Caenorhabditis elegans: one gene and its partners. The protein of the gene in region 4 interacts with the protein of the main gene of each other region in a biochemical or structural test. Each region holds a gene or a part of one and is shown on either strand. Other genes may lie near its edges. The genes, in order: flp-4, flp-3, flp-1 and npr-4.

Region 1 (7,755 bases), on a different chromosome or scaffold from region 4:
GCGCAAGGCAATTTTTCTACTTACCGTAATCCACGAAGATGCACTGGTGGCCAGAAGTTTTGCTGCTCGACAATTTCCGGCTGAAACATTCATTTATTTTTATAACTTTTCTCAATTTTTAAAAATCTTACAATAAGTTCATCTGGACTTGCAATATTCTTCTCTTCTTGCTCAGCAATTTCTTCACCAGATGACGGTGGATGAGCTGCTGTGAGTGCAAGCAACGTGGCAAAAAGCAAGGAGAAGATGAATGTTTTAAGGGAAGAGGAGAAGGCGTTCATGTCGCTGTAGTTGTCTGAAAATTGCAGAAATAATGAAGAAGGGGAAGGGGGAGCTTGAAGCGGAAAATTATGCGACGAAAAGGTTGAGCAGGTGCTTTTAAAAGAAACGGAGAACAATTGATAAAGGGGTGGAGTCAGTGTGACGTTGATAATGGTTGGATTAAAAAATTAGAGGACAAGTAATTTATCAATATTAACTTAAACAAAGGGTGAATAAACCGGGATTGCCCAAAGTTTGGCCGCACCCAGCTCAAAATTTTTTAATTTTTGTTTCGCCTGAAAACGAAATTCGAACACTTTTTTTGGTTGCTTTTTTGGCATTTCTGGTTTACCTGTTTAAAAAAAAATTGACGTTCAGTTGGAAAATACCATGAAACAATTGTACTTCAATAATTCTCCAAAAATAGAGGAAATAACATTTCACTGGTGTCTAAAAGTGATAGGTTTCCTAAAAAACAAAAACGCACATCCGTTTTCACAAACTTCAAGCCTTTTATTCAAAAACTCAATCACCAATGTTTCTCAACTGACGCATCTTCAACATTTTGACGTAATTTTTGAAAACTTTGACGTGCTAAATATTTCCTGTGCAAGCTGATTTTTGTTATCTAGACATTTTGGTTCAATTCTCAAAAAAAAACATCTGCAATGAGGCGTGTGGAATAGTTTTCGGAAAAGGTTGGAGATTGAAAATTGATCGGGATTATTCTAAATTATCATTGAGTTGATTAAAAAGTTTTCAATTATTCTCTTATACTGTTCACCCTGGGACTAATTAAAAATACGGTAAATACTATTTATTGGCTAATCGTAATATTTTATTTAAATATCCAATGACACAAAAACGCACGTCAAAGAGAGAAGAAAGAAAATTTAAAAAAACGTATCAATAATGCAAAGAAATATCTCGGAGAACATCAAGACCGGTGCGCCCGATTCCTGGAAGACATTGAGCCCCCACGTAAGAAGTGAAAGACCGAAAGACCTTTTTTATAATAAGTAATGAAACATGAGAACTATTCTGAACATTATACGAGCTGATTGGACACCCGATATGAGCATTTGAGTGGTGAAGTCTCTTGAACTTTCAAATTTTGCATAATTTCTGTTGGAAAAGAAGGAAATGTGGGTGTGGTCTGACGTCAAGGGTTCAAAATTATGCTGGTGGTCCGTTAGAAGTAGTTCTATGAAATTTAAACAAAAATCAATGGTTCTCCAAACAAATTTCTGAAGCTTAAAGGATAGCTGGAAAAAACACCAGAACTAAATCTTTAGAGCCAGCCAAATTTTTCAAACTTGTCAATTTCAGATATTATGCGTTGAATCCATGTTCTGTTATCCGATGGATCAAAAATTATAAGTTTGTAAACAATACGAATTTATAAAAGATCCTTATTAAAACTTCAAACTCACATTAACCTCCTCGGAAGGGATTAATTATAGACTTAAGCTTCTAAAATAACTAATATTTTTTAGTCGAGCTTCTTTTATGTGTCTAAAGAAATTATTACAGACGTTTTGGTTTTCAATGAAATATAATCCTTTGGTTTTTAGTTTGTGTCTATATCTATTGGTCTCTAGGGTTACGGTAGTGACGGGTTAACTTCAATTAGTAAATCACCTATTTACTGTCTCGAACGTGGTCATAAACTTTGTTGAGTGTAGGCAAAAAATGCCTACCTATTCATGTATGTAGATTGTCAATTGATCTCCATAATTGCTGGAATTCAGTGATTTTGATAAGATTTCAGAAGCTGATAGATTTTCAAAATGGAGAATAAAACTTCTAATGAATAAGACAGAGTCAAAAGTTGAACTCACCACTTTGCCAAATTCAAAAGCTGAAACTAATGTTGTAAGAGTGGATTTCTTAGGTATTTATACTTAAACCTTCAGTTCAAAAAACCTTAACTAAATACCAAAGGGGTATTATTACGACACATATCAGACTTTAGTCTAAGATTAGGATTAATATTAATCTATTGCTTACATTTTCATGTTTTAATGAATCAAGGTTTAGGTTACACTGTGAAAAAGAATAATCTTTTAATGGACGAGATGATCTTCGGAAAGTGAATTGACAATGCGATCTTAGGAATAAAATTAGAATTGTGATAAGTTTAGTCTAGTTTCAAAAGCTTGCTGGAAGTGTTTGTCTTAAAACAAGGAAATCTATCACCTAGCCTATTCATAGGCACAAAAATACATATCATCGAAACTATCACAAAATGTCCAAGAGGCACGCAGGTAAGCATTTTGGGGGCCTTTAGAGATCATTTCAAAGTAAAATAACGCGAACAGTATGTGCTTGGATGTTCTTCATTTGAAAGCTTTCTACTGTTTTTCGTTCAGGAAAATTATCGTACTGCGTAGGATTCAGATCTTTGTCATAAACTTCGTTCATTCATAGTTTCTTCCGCATGCCATTTCAAATAAGATCAAAAGTCTATTTTTTGAATAACCTTAACATTTATCTTAAACTCTAATTTTTCTTTTAGGTTCTATTGTTTGCGATAATGGATGTCTCTCAGGATTAAGCATAGTCAAAAATCACATCCGTGTCTTTTTCCGGATTTTCTATCACGAAAACTCATCACATAGGTAACTGTAACAGATGATCAGTCAGGTAGTGTGGCATAATGAAACCTAATAAGTATTTTGAAAATGAATATTCTTTGTACAGCAAAAATACATTTAATTCTAATACCACATTGAAACTCTAAAATTTCAATGAATTATATGACGTCACACGGCGCTGAAAATGTGTCCCAGCAGAGAAAAAAGAAAAAGAACGGAATAATAAGAAATGTGAAGAACAGTTGGAGGTGCTTAAAAATGCATGCAAAAATACTAAGAAATTCACTGGATATTGGTCACAATTTGTAGATTTGTGCGTACAAACTCGTGGTGTAGAATTACTTTATTAGGTGTGATATGAGTTATCAGAATCAGTTTGATTAAAAATTGGATTGGAAAATGTGGAAAAATTGTCATGGTGCGTGGTTTGATCTGAGAATAATTGGAAAATATGATGGATTGAAAAGGAAAATCCTGAGAAAATTTTGAGAAATGCCTTTTTGGAAAAATGACGCAATTGGAATTAATTGAGTAGTTGGGCTACAGTCACGTACTACATTTTGAAGAGTTTTATAAAAAAATATGGTGGTTCTTTGATATATTTTTCCCGGTGTAATGATAGAAATTCCTATCTGGAAGTAAATTTCCAGAGCTCTCTACGTATTCAGATTCCCACGTAAAGATTTTATAATTTTCAAGAACTCTTTTCTGTTTTCTGGATTTGTGGTAAAGCTCTGAGTTTTGTGATCACGATGCTTCAACTGGAATTTTAAATAGTGATAAACAGTTTCTTAATTCTCAGAGTAAGAGAAGTTTCTCCCATAGTTTTAAGGAAAGTATTCCAACTTTTAATTTTCTAAAGAAGGACACTTTTTATTACGTCTGGACTATTGAAGAAGCCAGAAACCACTAAAGTTCAAAAGAGCTCATCAAACAGTCATGGAGTCAGGGAGCAGGAGTGTAAATCAAGTGCGTGAAAGCTTGAAATTCTAAAAAAAAAGAACATTTGAAGACCTCGAAGCTCCTTGAAAACCATTTTACTACGCGACTTCCAAATCGGAATATTAAAATTTGCAAAATATTTATCAGGCATTTCCAGTTTTCGAGCCCTTGATTCACACCCCTGTTGTGTAGCAGCTAGATGTTTGAATGAAGATTTTGAATTAAAAAGAAGGAAATTTTACTGTAGCCCGTAATATAAAGGTACACTTATAAGTCGATCCAAGAAGCATGAAAATCTGAACGAATGATCTTATTCTATGCTCAATTTTTATAGGAGACGTAAATACAATTAGCAAAGAAAGAACTCTCAAAATGTTATTTTGTTGTCTACGTAATTCAACAACAACTTAAATCTTCCATGTTATGCTGAAAATATTCTGCCTGCCTTCAAGGTAACCTACGTTCCTTGGAAATATGTCATGACTACTGCCAAAGTTGTAAAAACATGAATACAAAACATACTCCTGAAGACGTGCGTGCATACGACGATGCTATACAAGAACTATAACAAGAAAGAAAAGTAGTCCTGCATATATACTAAATCTAAAAATGTATTTACAGTTTCTTTTGCCCACACAAATAAGACGCCCACTTAACTTTTCATCTTTTGAACTTGGCTCTCAAGTTTCCATAAAAAGAAGAACATTTTTGCAGGAAGCTGTCTTTCAGTCCTAAAAGCTAACTTCTTGTTTTTCTTAACTTTCGAATATCTGAAGATTCGGTGCCGCAAATTGAATAACAACAACTATTTTTGGATGGACCATAAATAGACGTTCCTCCTAACTCTTCAGGTTACACCTACGTTTTCCGAACATTTTTGAAACCTTAAAGGACAATTTAATAGAAAATCAAAGGAACATGGATAGGTAATAATTCAAAATCCGTGTGTGTTTTTGTCTGATGTTGTCACTTTCGAACAAGCAACAACTAATTCGACAACATCAATCAAAATTCCCGAATCTCGGCAATTTTTCTTCGATTAGCTTTTGAGCGTCCAAGGTTCAATTCAGGAAAAAGAAATATGAGAGCAAATGAGTGAAATTGAAAACAGAACAAGACAAGAAAATGACTAACTAGATAATATGTAACATGATAAGAAGATTATAGATTAACAATGAATAGTCAGAAATTATTCTTGTAAGTCTAGTAAATCGGCTTGCAGATTTCATCGGAACATTTATTAAAAACAATACATGTAAGAAGCCAAAATTGAACACGTGTTTTGAATTCAAGATTTTTTAAATTTATAAAAAACAAGTCTGCGGTTTTTTTTTTGGGCTTAGATTTATGTACTCTATAGCTTTTTCAAGTCATAAAAAGCTTTGAAATGCATTACTGTATTGAATAAATGTTTAGTAAATGTTTTGAAAAACTGGTAAATTTTCAAACAAAAAATTTTTTTAAAGCAATTTCAAATCATGTAGGTTCGATTATTTAGAGGTGCTAATTTGGAAAACAACCTTGTATAACTCTTTGGAGATACCCTAAATTTAGATCCACAATACATATCTAGAAATTTGATACACTAGACACTAGACATACCTCAAGAAAATTATGAACGAAAAAATGTACATTGTCTTATATAAATACTTGTATGAATGACGTTGCAATGGCTAACGTCAAATACTCCAATAAAAACTCTAGAAGTTAATCAACAATATGTGTTTAGTAATAATCGTTTGACGCCCACTTTTCGCTAGTTTTCAAGCAAAACCAATTTCCGATTTCTGAAACGAAAAATGAAAATAACTATGGCAGCTACAAATGGTCACGTAGACTAAACCAAACAACAACAATCTTCAAGAAGTTCCTCGAAAAAATTGAAGATTTTCCAGAAAAAAAAACAGTCAGATACACCACGTTTTCTGGTTATGCTCCATTGTGGCCTCAAGATACTGCTGTTAGACCAAAACTTTTTGTCAAATTTCATGAATTTCAAAGAACATTTTTGCCAGTTTGCTTTTCACGTCAACTAGATCTATTGATGTCAAAGCGAAAAAAAACCTACCAATTTTTTGCGGAAATATTGAGATCCAAATATGAATTTGCGAAGAAAGGCGTGAGCAGGCGGAGCCTAGTGCGCAATCAAATGAATGTGACTGGAATGATGTTGAATAGGGGAAAAAAGGAAACAGAATAAGGAGACAGCACAAAAAAGGAGAATGGAATGGACACTGGAAGTTGGAATATATGTAGAATAAGTAGGAATGGGTTGAGGAAGAAGAGGACAGTTTTATTGAGTTCTTTACGAGCTGGGGAATGAGGAATGATGATGGAATCATTGGAGAAAAAATTGTGGTACGACCAAAAAGCTGAAGACGTGGGTTTTGTCTGACAAGGCATGACGAATCAATGATTAGGTGGAGGGGGACATCGAATTTATGACGGAACTTCGGGAATGAAACGTGCCAAAAGATGGATGGGGGTCCAACTACCCCAATAAGTTTGATCTTTTGGAATACCAAACTAGGAGGTAATGGGGGTTTTCGGCTATTTTTAGATAAAGTTGATTGAAAACTACCGTAGTTCGACTGAAAAATTATCTTGCGTAGATGTTGGCTTTCGAATTTATTTTAGAAAATTTAGGAAAGGTTGAGAACCTTCTAGAAACTCTAGAAACTTTTGGAATATTCGGGGAAAACCGGGAAACTTTGGAAAACGTCTGTATTGTAAAATAAAGACCCGTCGCTGCGGGTTCAAATTCATGCTCTTCAAAAAAATTCAGCGCCCACAGTTCAAATATGTGATTTTAGAATTATTCTGTCAAATTAGAAGGAAGTACAAAAATTTTATATAGAAACTGAAAAAAAACGTCAGAAGACAATATATGCACCAATAGCCTATTGATTTGAAGAGCTGAAAAAGTTTAAATCCCACAAAAAACAATAGCAGGATTTTTTGGGAACCCCGCAAATGATAGAACACTTTTAATATTGGAACAAGTGCTCAAATTTTTTAAAGACAGTTAAATGAATTATTGAAATTATTCATTTTACTTTCCTTTTTTGCAAAAATAAAATCCGAATCCGTAGGTCTCGGGAAATCACTAAAGATAAGTAAGTCTTAACATTTTCCTAATTATGAAAATCAGATCGGTCAACATTTTGCAATTTCGCTAAAACATGCACAAAATAAGAACCAAGAAATCAAGCCTTTTTTTTCGTGTTATTTTCTGCGCTTTTCTTTAATAAACAGAAAATTGCTCCTGATCCAAAAATAATCCAGACAACTCATCCAAACAATCTTCTGCTCGGAGGAGAAGGAAATGCACAATTTGCAACCACTTGTACGTGGGGAAATTGAGGAAATGGTTATGTAGTTCAAAAGTATTTGTGTGGGCTCCGGATTGGGGCATGAAAAATCAAAAAAATTGTTCGTATTGGACTATTTTTCTAATAACTTTGGTAATTTTATAATTTTCCAAAACTCGGCAATTTACCAAAAAAGACCACAGATCTATTCGGAAAAGTTTTGATGCAAAAATTTAACTTTACCAGTTGTCTCCTTTTTTGAATAAATATTAAAGAACATAACATCTCCACAAAATCCAAAAAAATTGAAAAGCATCTACAAAAAAAGAAAAATGCTGCTTAATTTTCTATTAAACCCGCAGGCTTTCAATTACACATTTCAAGATATTTGGGAAGCACTATAAATACTACAAGTAGTGCAAAACAAGACGAAATCGTCATTTTAAATTATTAAATTATTGAAAATCTGAAAGAATGCTGTGCAATTCTAAAAGGGGCTTAGTCAGCGGAAGCTATTTTTTTCAAATTACTTATTCACGTCCGAGTCATCAAACTACTCAATGTGTTCTACCAAGTCTATAGCATATTCAATATCATTTGCCACTATGTTTTCACTATATTTCTATTTTATTTATAGGGAAACC
Region 2 (3,060 bases), 2.5 Mb from region 4:
CTGCATTTTATAACTCCATTTTTAATATACAAAAAATGAAGCAACAGATAACATTGTGAACTAGTAACGATGACTGTTCAGAATAAGAACAAAACGAATAAGCAGAAAAGGGAAAATATGCGTTTATTGTGAACATTCAGCGTTTTATTTTTAATTTGCAGTTCATCCATAATATTTTTTTCCTTGACTCTGTGCTTTAGTGATAGTTCTATTGTGAGTAGGCTGAGTAAACTTCTTTAAGAAGCCGGCAGTTTCCACGCATTCATTGGTTGGCACATGTTGGTCTTCTGTAAACATCTGAAATGTTCGAATTCATATTTGTTTTCAAGTGTCTAAAGGGGAAAACACCGGAAGTTTTGGCCAATCGGATGATGAAAGCGGACGAGCGAACCATGAAATTGTGTTCGAGAATTTCTCCATCAAAAGCAAAGACTAAATTTGAGAATCTTACAGTTTGCTAGCTAACTATTTTGGTCAAGCGTGAACAACTAACAACAAAATTTAACAAAGTGAATAATAACATTAATTTATTCTCCAATCTATGCAAACCACTTGATGAGAAGAACAGAGAAGGGGGTATTATGGAATAGTCGTTTTTCCTTAGTTTTTTGCAAAAGCCCAAGAATTATGCAATCGTTTCGGTATATTTTGGTATGAATTAGAAGCCAGAATGATAAATAATGTTAAAAGAGAGTGCCACTGCTGCGGGGGTGTTGAACATGAAAACTTAGTTGAAGCGAGAATAATATAAACGTGAAAAGTGAAAATAGAAATTATTTTCCAAAGCGCATGGTTCCAAGAGGGTTTCTTTTGCCAAAGCGCATTGTGCCAAATGGAGCACTGTCGTCAGCTGATCTTTTTCCAAAGCGCATAGTTCCAAGTGGCTCTTCTAAAAGCATAACATTGTGAAATCAAACTTTAGTACAGAACTGTATACCTGCTTCACGTTTCCCAAATTTCATTGTTCCAAATGGCGCATTACCGTCTTCTCTCTTTCCAAAACGCATGGTTCCAAACAGAGCATCCTCACTAGCACGCTTTCCAAATCTCATTGTTCCGAATGGTGTGTCGTTCTCAGGATTACGTTTTCCAAAACGCATAGTACCGAATGGCTCTGGAAACAGGTGGGTATAGTTTTTGAAAATTAATTATTTGTATAATACCTGCACTTCGTTTTCCAAAACGCATAGTTCCCAATGGAGTGCGCTGATCACGAATGACGGGCTCCGAAGAATCAACAGTAGACCGCTTCCACATTACATTTGACGGATAGTATCCATCCTCCTCAAATGTCATTTCATCAGCAATGGCTCGTTTGCCAAAGCGCATTGTTCCCAGTGGAGACCGTTTTGGTGTGGCATCTAAATACTTTTCATTCTATTTCAAAAACATAATTTCTATTCTCCTACCCGACGCTACCAAAAACGCGCAATTCACACAGAAGAGCAGGATGAGGTGATTGGGCGATATCATTGGTGGTTATGGTGGTGTTACGCGGGAGCTAACACACAAGGGGTACCTTAAAATATAACAATTAGTTACGGAAAATTTAGTCAAGAAGAAGTAGAAGTGAGGTTGTGAACCGCCGAGATATTTGCATGTTTTTATATGAGCTTAATTTCAACAATTTTAACGGTTCAGTTGTCATGCCGGAAGAGGTGTGTGGGGTTTTAGAAATTTGGTCAGGAATGCGTAAATACTGTGTGCAGTTAGAAAAATGTTCATGTGAAACGAGTAAAATTGAAATCCGGTGCTCAAAAATTATTGAAAATCTGAGCTTTGGCGAACAACTTTGTTTAATAAGTACTCGGTACATTCTATTGTCAGGTAAAAATTGGAGGCGTTGGCAATTTGGTTTAAAGGGGCGGGTTTCTAAAAAGTAAGTGGTCCCTTGATGTTGCAATGCACAGGTCAAACGATTACTATTGTGTCGAGAAAAGACTTCGAAAATGCACGATTTGACGTACGACGTCTACCGCCGCCCAACACTCCTTCAAACAAATTGCCAAGTAACAATGCTATTGCTCTTTTATTGCGGCCAGAGTTTCTATTAAAAAACGGTGGCACCTCAATTTATGCATCGTCATGTGACATTTTTGGAATACTCTAAGAAAAGAAATAAGATAATTGAGTCTAAAAAGACACTCGAAATTAGTAGAAGAAGCGTAGGTGGTAGTTTTCAAAGTTCAGGTTAATAATTTGAAACTGAAAGAATTGTGTTGAAACGGGGCGGCGGTTAACGGAAGAGGTGGGATCTCTCGAAAAACCTATAAATTTTGATGTTCAACATCATAATTCAAGCCTAGATGGATAACGAGAATGACGACTCGAACCCATTTTTTTGATGGGATACTGTAACTTTGTGACATCAACTCTCACACAGCCCACCGCCAATTATTAAATCTTTGCGTGCACAGCTAGTCAAATGTAAGTCTTGATTGATAATTGTCAGGTACGAAATTTAAACCGGGACTGGTGTTAGTTCAAAACGTAGATAGACATTTGTTCTCAAAAAAGAAAGAAATGACAGAATCCGATTGGTGCCTGTTGGTTGAGATGCCACCTTGTCGAATTTGTGAAGCGAAGCTGATTAATGAACTGAGCTTTAAGGAGGGGGGATTTTCTGTTTTTGAATAATTAAACATTATTTTTTGTCAAAAACGTCACTTGTCAGAACGCGAGAAATGATTAAGTAGGTTGAACTAATCTTGTTCTCAAGATTGAACAGTGTTTTGAAATTAAAACGAAAACTAATAAATCAAAGCTTCTTGGAAATTCTAGCACCTTCCAAAGTCACTCCACATGTTTAATTATGAGCACTCATTGACATTTCCGAAACAATTCTTTGAAGAACTAGCAAGACTGAATTTTAAAATTTTGATCTTGAAAATAGTGTGCCTCGTTTTCTGACCTAATCTGGCTAAAATCTGAAATTCAGTGCCAGTAGTCGTTTCCTTTGTTCGCGAAGAAAACGTAAGACTTGGTTAACAGATGGGCTATTATTCCATGCGGAACCCAACCACTTTATTCGAAGTTATAGGAAACATAGTTTAAAAAATG
Region 3 (3,972 bases), on a different chromosome or scaffold from region 4:
TGAAATCAAACCGAAAGACGCCATTCGCTGCAGAGAATGCGGATATCGTATTCTATACAAGAAAAGATGCAGAAAGTGTAAGTTTTAAATTGTATAGAAAACAAAAATTCATTTTTGAACTTTCAGTGATGGTGTACGACGCCCGCTAATGAACCTGGCTGAACCTGTATCATTTTGTTGAATTTTAAATTTCATACTTGATCTTCGTATTTTTCTCATTTCATCACTTTCAAAAGCGATGAATTTTTCGAATTTTAACCGTTAACAATAAATCGTCGTTCTGCTTAATGACAGGTGTTCTGCATTCTAAGCACACAAATTAAGGACAAGAGCACCCGTGCGCCTGTGAATCTCCATAGCAACCAATGCTTTTCAACGCAACTCAGGCATTTGCTTGTTCTTGTCTAGTTCCACTTATTTTATAAAATGCGACCAAATTTACTATGGGTCGACAAAATTTTAGACGAAAACAATGAAGCTGGGTGAGTTGTTTAAAATTTCAAAATATTTCTTTCATTTTCAAAAACAAATGACACTGAAAGATAAAAAGACGAAAAGAGAATAGAGAAAATAGAGAAATTGTTCCTGAATTAGCTGCTGTGTGAGTGTGATCGATCTGATGCTGACGGTCGAAGTTTTAGTTTCTTATTTTCCGAAACGAAGGAAATTTGGCTTGCGGGATTCACGATCGAAGTTGTCGAATGAGCGTCCGAATCTGAAGAAATAATTTGATAATATTATAATTTTTGTTTTTAACATACCTCAAGAAGTTAGGATCTGCAGATCGTTTTCCGAATCTCAAGAAATTTGGATCAGCAGCGGCTTTTCCAAATCTCAAGAAGTTAGGGTCACTTCGACCTGAAAATGATTATCATTTAGAATCTTGATTATTTTCTATTTTGTTCCCTAACTGACTATCTTTATGAGAGGAAGCTTTGTTTGCAAATAAACTGAAATTTAGTTCGAATCGTTAGATCTGAAATGTTCTTCAAATCCAATCCATTCAAATACTCACCGAAACGAAGGAAGTTCGGGTCTCCGCTAGCCTTTCCGAATCGCAAGAAGTTTGGTTGAGATCGTCCGAATCGAAGGAAGTTCGGGTCTGAACCGGCTTTCTTTCCCAGCGACTTTACAGCTAAAAGAGCACCAAGTTGTGCTCTTTTTTATCAGAAAAAGGTTAGACTTACCTGCTGATCGCCCATATCTCATAAAGTTTGGCTTTCTCTTTTCCATCTTTTGCAGTGCCACCTCGGCATCACCATCGCAGTTTTCACCTGAAAATGAGGAAATATTATGAAAATTCATCAGATACCTTGGCAGGAAGGCGTTGCTTCAGACGAGCTTGCATGCCTTATGCCTGCCCGCCTATCTCTTATTTTGTACATTTAGGCGCAAAGTCTTGATTTACGCACAAGGTTCAACGAACACCCGTGCAGGCATGAGGCAGGCGAGACAGGCCTTTTTGTGATTACATAGCGGGTTTTCTAACGACCAAATATTCTAACAAAGACCCTAATTATAGAGTTAGAATATGTTTTCAGTTGATCTTAAGTTAAATTTTGAAATCAATCTAATTAAATGTTATAACCATGATTTTCCCCGTATTTGGAAGTTTTTTAAATCATTATCTAAATAACCTTATCAATTGTAGGCAATATTTTTTAAATGAATAGTATACTAAACCCTTCAATGAAATCAAAAGGAACAAACCTATAAAGTTCATCACTTCATTTTGCTCCATGGTGGAGAGCATCGAGAAGACCGTACAAAAGTCTGAAGTGGCTCCCGGTGTGCAACATTCTGCCGACACCTGAATAATAATTATAATTTTGAAATTATTAAATCAAGAAAGAAACCTTATAAGTAGCTGCCACAAGGAGTAATAACCCTACTTGGTAGAGCAGAGTCATGATAAAGTGAAGAAAACCAATGAAGATGTGAGCTATTTATAAGCCTTCTTTGCAAGTACCGTATCCAATCTTGAACCCCCCATGATGAGTATGAGTAGGATGATGATGATATTTACCACAAATAATTAATTTGATTTTAATATTCATATTGTATTTCTTGCATCTGGGGTCCGTAAGACGTGCTTGACGAGGACTAATTCCATTATGTTTTATACATCCAAAACGGGACACATTCTATGGATTGGAATTTCAGGAAGATGATGACGATGAAAAAGATTTCAAGAAAATTAGGCTTCCATGGGGAACAGTTTTTTTTTTTGGGTTTTTAGGAATTCCTTCAAAAATTGTGAACAATTAAATAGCTAGATTATCATTTTACCACATATTTTTTAAGAACCGGAAAACCTCAATTATAATTTAAAACGTATCATTTGAAATAGAAATTAATTTCCAGAGTTTGCATTTATGATCTCGCATTCAAACCAGATGGCTCTGAACTTTTGTTGGCTGCAGATAACAAAGTTTACTTGTTTGATGTTAATGAAGGTGGTCAAATGCAAACTTTGAAAGGTAAGTACGTTTTAAAATTATTTAGAGTAAGAATTCATTGAGCCCTTCTCTAACTCTAAATCAACTGAATTTCAGGACACAAAGATCTAGTATACACAGTCGCATGGTCACATAATGGCGAACTATTTGCATCAGGTGGTGCTGATAAATTGGTAATTTTGTGGAATGAGAAACACGAGGGAACTTTGAGATACAGGTTGGAATTTTTCCGAACAGACTGAGAATCTGGCTATTGCCATATTTTTTTAGCAAATTGTAGTTTTACAATTTTTGTTGAAAATTCAAAATTCGTAATACGAAATTGCAAAAATGTAATTATAAATTTCAGTCACACAGACGTAATCCAATGTATGATGTTCAATCCATGCAATCAAATTCTATTAACTTGTGCATTGAATGAGTTTGGATTATGGTCCACTGCTGATAAAAATGTGATAAAACAAAGAAGTGTAGTGAGATGTTGTAGTTGTGCATGGAATACAGATGGTACCATATTTGCAATAGGTCATGGAGATGGTACAATCACACTGAGAAAGGGAACTAATGCGGTAAGAAAATATTAATATCATTTCAATTTCAGAAAATGTACATATTTTACCGCAAATATTAGTTTAAAAAACGATATTTAAAATAGTTAATACATTAATTTAAAGACCGAGGAACCGTCAATAATAATTCAACGTGATAATGAACCAATTTGGGGTATTGCATTCTCATCAAATCGCACATTTGCATCAAGAGATTCACAAGGAAATCCAATGGGTATTGATGAAATAATGGCTGTAATTGATTGGAATAAGACACTTTCTTTTTATTCACTTGATGGAACGTTTATTGAATCAAAGAATTTGGAATTTGAACCGCATTGTATCAGTTATTGTTTAAATGGAGAATATTTATTGATTGGTGGATCGGATAAGATTCTAAAAATATACACAAGGAAAGGTCAGTTTTGAAAAAGGGAATAATTTTTTAATTTACAGGGAAAGCATTTCAGATCTCAATTAGACTTTTTTTTAATGAAACCTACGTTATTTGAAAGAGGAACTTCACACTAGGTCTCTGCAAAAAATTTAGCACTGAAACATTTTTCATATTTTAATTTTATTTTAATTTTTAATTCATATTTTAATTTTATTTATTTACTTTTTTAAAAATTCTTTTTGACTGAACCTCTTTCTATAATAGTGAACGTACTCCACTGCTGCTAAAGTAAGTTTTTTGCAGGAACTTAGTTTGGAGGCCCTTTTTCAAATAAACTAGGTTTCTTTCAGATGTCAAATCGTGACCTGAAATAATTGCCTTTAGTAAGTAGTTGTAGTAGGGAATTGAAAAATTAATTCCCACAATATTGAATGATCGACTGTTGAAAATAAATTTATAGGAGTACTTCTCGGAACAGTTGCTCAAATGGATCATTGGATTTGGTCAGTGACAGTACGTCCAAATTCTCAAACTGTTGCCATGGGATGTGTTGATGGAACTATAGCAT
Region 4 (4,592 bases):
AAAATTATAAATATCTGTGCAACAAGCCCACAAACTTTTCACTGACTTTGTTGTTTTTATGGATAATTCCAGTGTTTCTTACTAATTTATAAACGCTGATAAATAGTTATGTATTTTGAAAGCAGTCTCTGAAAAAAAACACGATATTAAATCAAAAAAATTTTACAAAAAAGCAAAAAGATTTGATATACATAACATTGTAACAGAATTTACGGCCTTTCCAACAAAACAAGTTTCTGTTGTCTTATAAAAATTATTCCAAAGATCTGGGAAAGTTCATTCAATATCCCCAGCGCTCATTACCATTTTCTTACGCATCGCACTTGGTCTCCGAACCTTCATTGCATTCACCTGAATCTTAGATAGCAAATGACGAAATCAGCCCAATCCTCCAATCATCCAATCGCAGACTTGAATAATCAACGCAACATTTGCACATCCTTAGAGGTCATCCCCGCATGACTCTATCATCCTTTTCTCCGAACCTTTTTTCCTCCGCTCTCCGCCCTCCATTCTTCTTTTTCCTGGCTTCAATCCCTTTTTTTACAACCAAATGGACCCTCTAAGACAATTGAGCAACGCCTGCGGAAGAAGGGCAAGCCAATCTGCAGTCGGTTGGTCCTTTTTTATTATTTACCTTACACTTGTTTCCGTTTTAATTGTTGCGATCTTTGTACAAGAAGAAAATCATGTTGGTTTTTGATGAAGTGAGTTCGGAGTTCGAATTGTTCTTTCAACTCCAAAAATCGAAGCACTTTTGTTTTATATTTTCGGTTTCACAGTATAACAAAAATTTGTTTGTAGAGTCATGTTTAGATTAGTATATAAAAATGTTAAATTCCACAAATTTGATTGAAAAACAAAAGTAGTGATTATTGTTTGTGTATTTCTCGAAACTTATTTTTCCAATTGTAAGGAAATATGAAATCAACTAATTCTATGGATAACATATAATTTAGTTTTAATTTGAAAAATAAAATAATGTTGTAGAACTTTAATGTAGTACACATTGAAAAAAAATAGGTTTGGCGGTAAAGCTTTCTAGTTCACCCATCTTCAAGTAATGCAAAATTGAAGTTTTCTTACCTGTTCTAGTTGGTTTTGAAATTCTCCTTAAACAAATTAAAGATAATTTTATTCAATTAAAAAATATTTTCCAGTATTTGACTTTTCACCAAAGTTAAAACAACTTGAAAAAAAGTTCAAGGTGTTTTCACATGTTCTAGTCTAGACTAGTTTCTTCAAAAGTGAAAAGACTTACAAAGGCAAAAATCCTTTGTCATTGTAATCCTCCGCCATAAAATTTTGTTTGTTTTTTTCTAAGAATCTGAAAATTAACTTTTCCGCCTGTCTTGCTCCATTTTTCTCATTCCAACTCGATTAGTTTATTGCATTAGTGCAGAATGTACAAACGTTTCTGAAAACAAACGCTTTTGGTGCCAGATGTTGAGGATAATATTAATCTTTTCTCACAATTTCTTCTTGTCCATTCTTTCTTTGAATTTATCTAAATACAATTTGTTTCAGCCCAGCTTGCCTTGGCACCAGGCTCTCATTTAATCACGGTAAGCCTCTCGGTCACTGTAAACTATATAACCAATCGTTTGATTTTCAGATATCAACACAAAGTTTACGGAGAATTGCAACTGAAAAGTTGTTAGGTGAAGACACATATACAGAACAATGTTACTGGAAATTGGCACAATAACAATCGGGAATATAACCCGAGCAAGAAAGTTTGGAGAAAGGTAAGTTCCTGAAAATGGAAAATGGGTCCCCCTCCGCATTTCAAATGAGGTGTCTATTAGTTTCTGGGAAAGTTGAAAGAGAAACCCTCCCACAACTCAAGTGTTAAAGTTCTAAGCCCAAATTCAGACACTTGTGAATATTAGATTATTGCCTATTTTGACGAGCTATGGTAAAAAAAACAACACTAATTTCGAGTGAAAACTCCAAAATTGTGGTGCACTTGTCACACCATCACTCATTCTCTGACAAATCTCGATTGTGTTTTTGAGCCAACCAGCTCTTATTCGTCGCCGTCAAAACTTTCTTAAATTGAAATCACATCTCGAAACCTTCTTCCGTTTTGCATAAAATTGAATTTAGTTCAACAAGTTTAAAATGCCACCCCTTTTCTAGAAAACAAATGATGACGTTTTCCACGTTTCTCAGTTGAGAACGAGTCATGCGACTTTCAATTGGTGAAGTTCTTTTTTTTTTCTTCTGAATTGGTGTTTTTCCATTACCAAAAAAAAAAGGGTTTTTGATCTTTAGATCAACATTCTCAATTTTTCGGTGCCAATCAAGATTCTTGGTGCATTGCGTTAGACAATACTGAATTGCAGCTAATCATGTAAAACAAGAAACAAATCATTGGCAAAATTGAGAAATTGTACCCAGTAAAACTAAAAAATATGGATCAAAGGGTGGTGTGAGTTTGTTGGGTGTTTTTCGCAGATCAATGGCAATTCGTTTGTGATTTTGAAAAAAATCGCTACAATTGTGAACATTGCTCTTTTTGACTTTTTGCTAACGATTTTACAATAGCTCAAATGTTGAACTTTTACTTTTCAAGATTCTTATAGTAAGACTTTTCTTGAACGATTTAATCTAGATTTTTTGGATCCAAAAACAGTATTCCTCTTACTCGTTGTACTTTTTGGCACTTCATTCTCCTACGGACCAACCACTTCATCTTTGCAACTTTTCGCTGACCTAAGATAATCAAATTCCTTAGAAGGAAGGAAAACTTTGAAACTTTCTCCCGCTCTCTCGAGTTTTTTATACCACCCACCTATAGTTCCTCTCTGTCTCTCTCTCCGTACTCATTTCATTAATGACGTTTTAAAATAGAGCCGCTAAAGAATTGATCTTATATATTAGGAGAGAAACGCATAGTGTTCGATCTTTGATGCTCAAAGCTCAAAATGTTAAAAATGCCAGCATGGTGTTATTATAATGTATCTGAAATACAAAATTAGAAGGTATCTGCAGAAATGCTGACGTGAAATGTGGGAAGGGGAAAGAGGAAAAAAGTTTTTACGATTGGTTGTGAGTAGGCGGAAAGATATGTTGTACAGCCAGTGGGGACATGATTAAAACCGTTTAATATTGCAAAAATGATAAAATATTATGATAAACTTTTCAAAAGCTATTGAAATTTTTTTTTACTCCGAGTCAAGATTTCAAAAATTTCATTTTGATATTTGGTAATTTTAGCACCACTATTGTAATGGTTTTCAATTATTTTTCACCTACCGTACTACAGCTTTAAGATTGTCACAGCACTCCGCTTTTTCTTTTGTTTCCTTTGAACCTGCTGAAGAACATGATTTTTTTTCCAAAATCTTTAATAATTTGCAATATTACCGTATACATATTTCCTGGTTGTTACGGACCTCAAAAATAATTTTCAGTTTATATAATTGTGATGTGCTTTTGTTTTGAAAACACCACATTGTCTAGCCCATTTGCTTTTTTTAAATGAATTTTTTATGAATTATGAAAACTACTTCCACTTAAAAAATCAGTGGTTCTGGGAAAATAACCATTTATTTCATTCCGTCTTCTTGTTTTTTTGACCGCGATGAACAAATACAAAATGAGAACATTAAAAGAAAACCAAAGTCACGAGACAACGTAGGCACCCAATTGTCTCGTAATTTATGAAAACACCAGTCACCAACCTAGAAGTACACCTTTTAGCCGGTCCCGATGAGGAAAACAATGAACAAAGGTTGAAGTTTTGCTATATGCATGTTTGACGCAGTCTGGCTTGTCCGGAACAAGATGTGCAATAGATTCGAGCTTTTGCGAATATTTTGGAAGAAATAGTAAATGGCCCGATATATCTAGATGAGACTTGGACGGAGGAGTAAAGTGGAAATTCGTTTACTTCATTCTATTTTGTGCTTAAAGAAGATATTTATCTGAGAAGCGTTGGGAAATGCATTTAACGGAAAAAGCCTTTCACATTCAAATTTTAATTTTCGATTCCTTGGCCAAGTTCATGTTGCGCTGCGATAGGCTTAGTATAATATTTTCGGAAGTTATTTGCATGTTCAGCAGATTGCGTCACAAATGCCATTTGTCCGATCAATTGAGCTTATTTTTATGTTACTATTTGGGAGGGTTGAGTAAGAAAATGCTAACTAACATCGTTTTTTGTCTTTTGAGATTTGAGAAATTTCTTATTTGCTTTCTCATCATTCTTTGTATTCTCAAAAATGAATGTGAACCTTGGAAAACGCTTGTAAGTTTTTTTTGATTCTTGAAGAGTTGAAACTGGGCAATTTTTCAAATTTATAGTAACTCGCAATGTTTTGAGAAATTTTCAATTTTCGGTTCTTTTTGAATATTACACATTCTACGTATTAGTTTCAATTTTCAAAATTGTTTAAAACGTTCATAATACACATTTCTCCCTAGAAAGAATGTTTAATTATTTTGTAAAGGTTCTCCCCAATTGATCACAAAAACATGTTGCGCATTCTGCTCAACTTGAATGCTTGTATCAATTATGAATGATGGTTTAATTTGAGTATTCACGCGCAAAAAACGTGAATCATGTTTTGCAATTTCTCACGTAT

Evidence for each region.
Region 1: of the proteins of npr-4 (region 4) and flp-4, one has a biochemical effect on the other in vitro, tested with the Caenorhabditis elegans proteins (one study listed by BioGRID).
Region 2: of the proteins of npr-4 (region 4) and flp-3, one has a biochemical effect on the other in vitro, tested with the Caenorhabditis elegans proteins (one study listed by BioGRID).
Region 3: of the proteins of npr-4 (region 4) and flp-1, one has a biochemical effect on the other in vitro, tested with the Caenorhabditis elegans proteins (one study listed by BioGRID).

The regions. Positions count from the first base shown.
Region 1 is NC_003280.10:10,047,165-10,054,919, reverse strand, and holds the start of flp-4 (FMRF-Like Peptide), read right to left. Parts: upstream 6,053-7,755; 5' UTR 5,869-6,052; intron 296-5,868; 5' UTR 282-295; coding exon 132-281; intron 81-131; coding exon 25-80; intron 1-24.
Region 2 is NC_003284.9:10,091,446-10,094,505, forward strand, and holds flp-3 (TPLGTMRF-amide), read right to left. Parts: upstream 1,520-3,060; 5' UTR 1,474-1,519; coding exon 1,410-1,473; intron 1,362-1,409; coding exon 1,164-1,361; intron 1,115-1,163; coding exon 938-1,114; intron 890-937; coding exon 774-889; 3' UTR 501-773; downstream 1-500. UniProt on the Caenorhabditis elegans protein: FMRFamides and FMRFamide-like peptides are neuropeptides. SAEPFGTMRF-amide inhibits the activity of dissected pharyngeal myogenic muscle system.
Region 3 is NC_003282.8:9,142,651-9,146,622, reverse strand, and holds flp-1 (SQPNFLRF-amide), read right to left. Parts: upstream 1,919-3,972; 5' UTR 1,911-1,918; coding exon 1,857-1,910; intron 1,811-1,856; coding exon 1,711-1,810; intron 1,275-1,710; coding exon 1,188-1,274; intron 1,136-1,187; coding exon 1,016-1,135; intron 859-1,015; coding exon 762-858; intron 716-761; coding exon 646-715; 3' UTR 501-645; downstream 1-500. Other genes in the region: rpb-12 (DNA-directed RNA polymerases I, II, and III subunit RPABC4), read left to right, coding at 1-77, 127-149; daf-10 (Intraflagellar transport protein 122 homolog), read left to right, coding at 427-482, 2,365-2,480, 2,556-2,676, 2,809-3,028, 3,134-3,425, 3,865-3,972. UniProt on the Caenorhabditis elegans protein: Together with flp-18, plays a homeostatic role by acting on the GABAergic neural transmission at neuromuscular junctions to prevent overexcitation of the locomotor circuit. DPNFLRF-amide: Inhibits the activity of dissected pharyngeal myogenic muscle system.
Region 4 is NC_003284.9:12,548,613-12,553,204, reverse strand, and holds the start of npr-4 (G-protein coupled receptors family 1 profile domain-containing protein), read left to right. Parts: upstream 1-1,527; 5' UTR 1,528-1,565; intron 1,566-1,615; 5' UTR 1,616-1,683; coding exon 1,684-1,748; intron 1,749-4,592.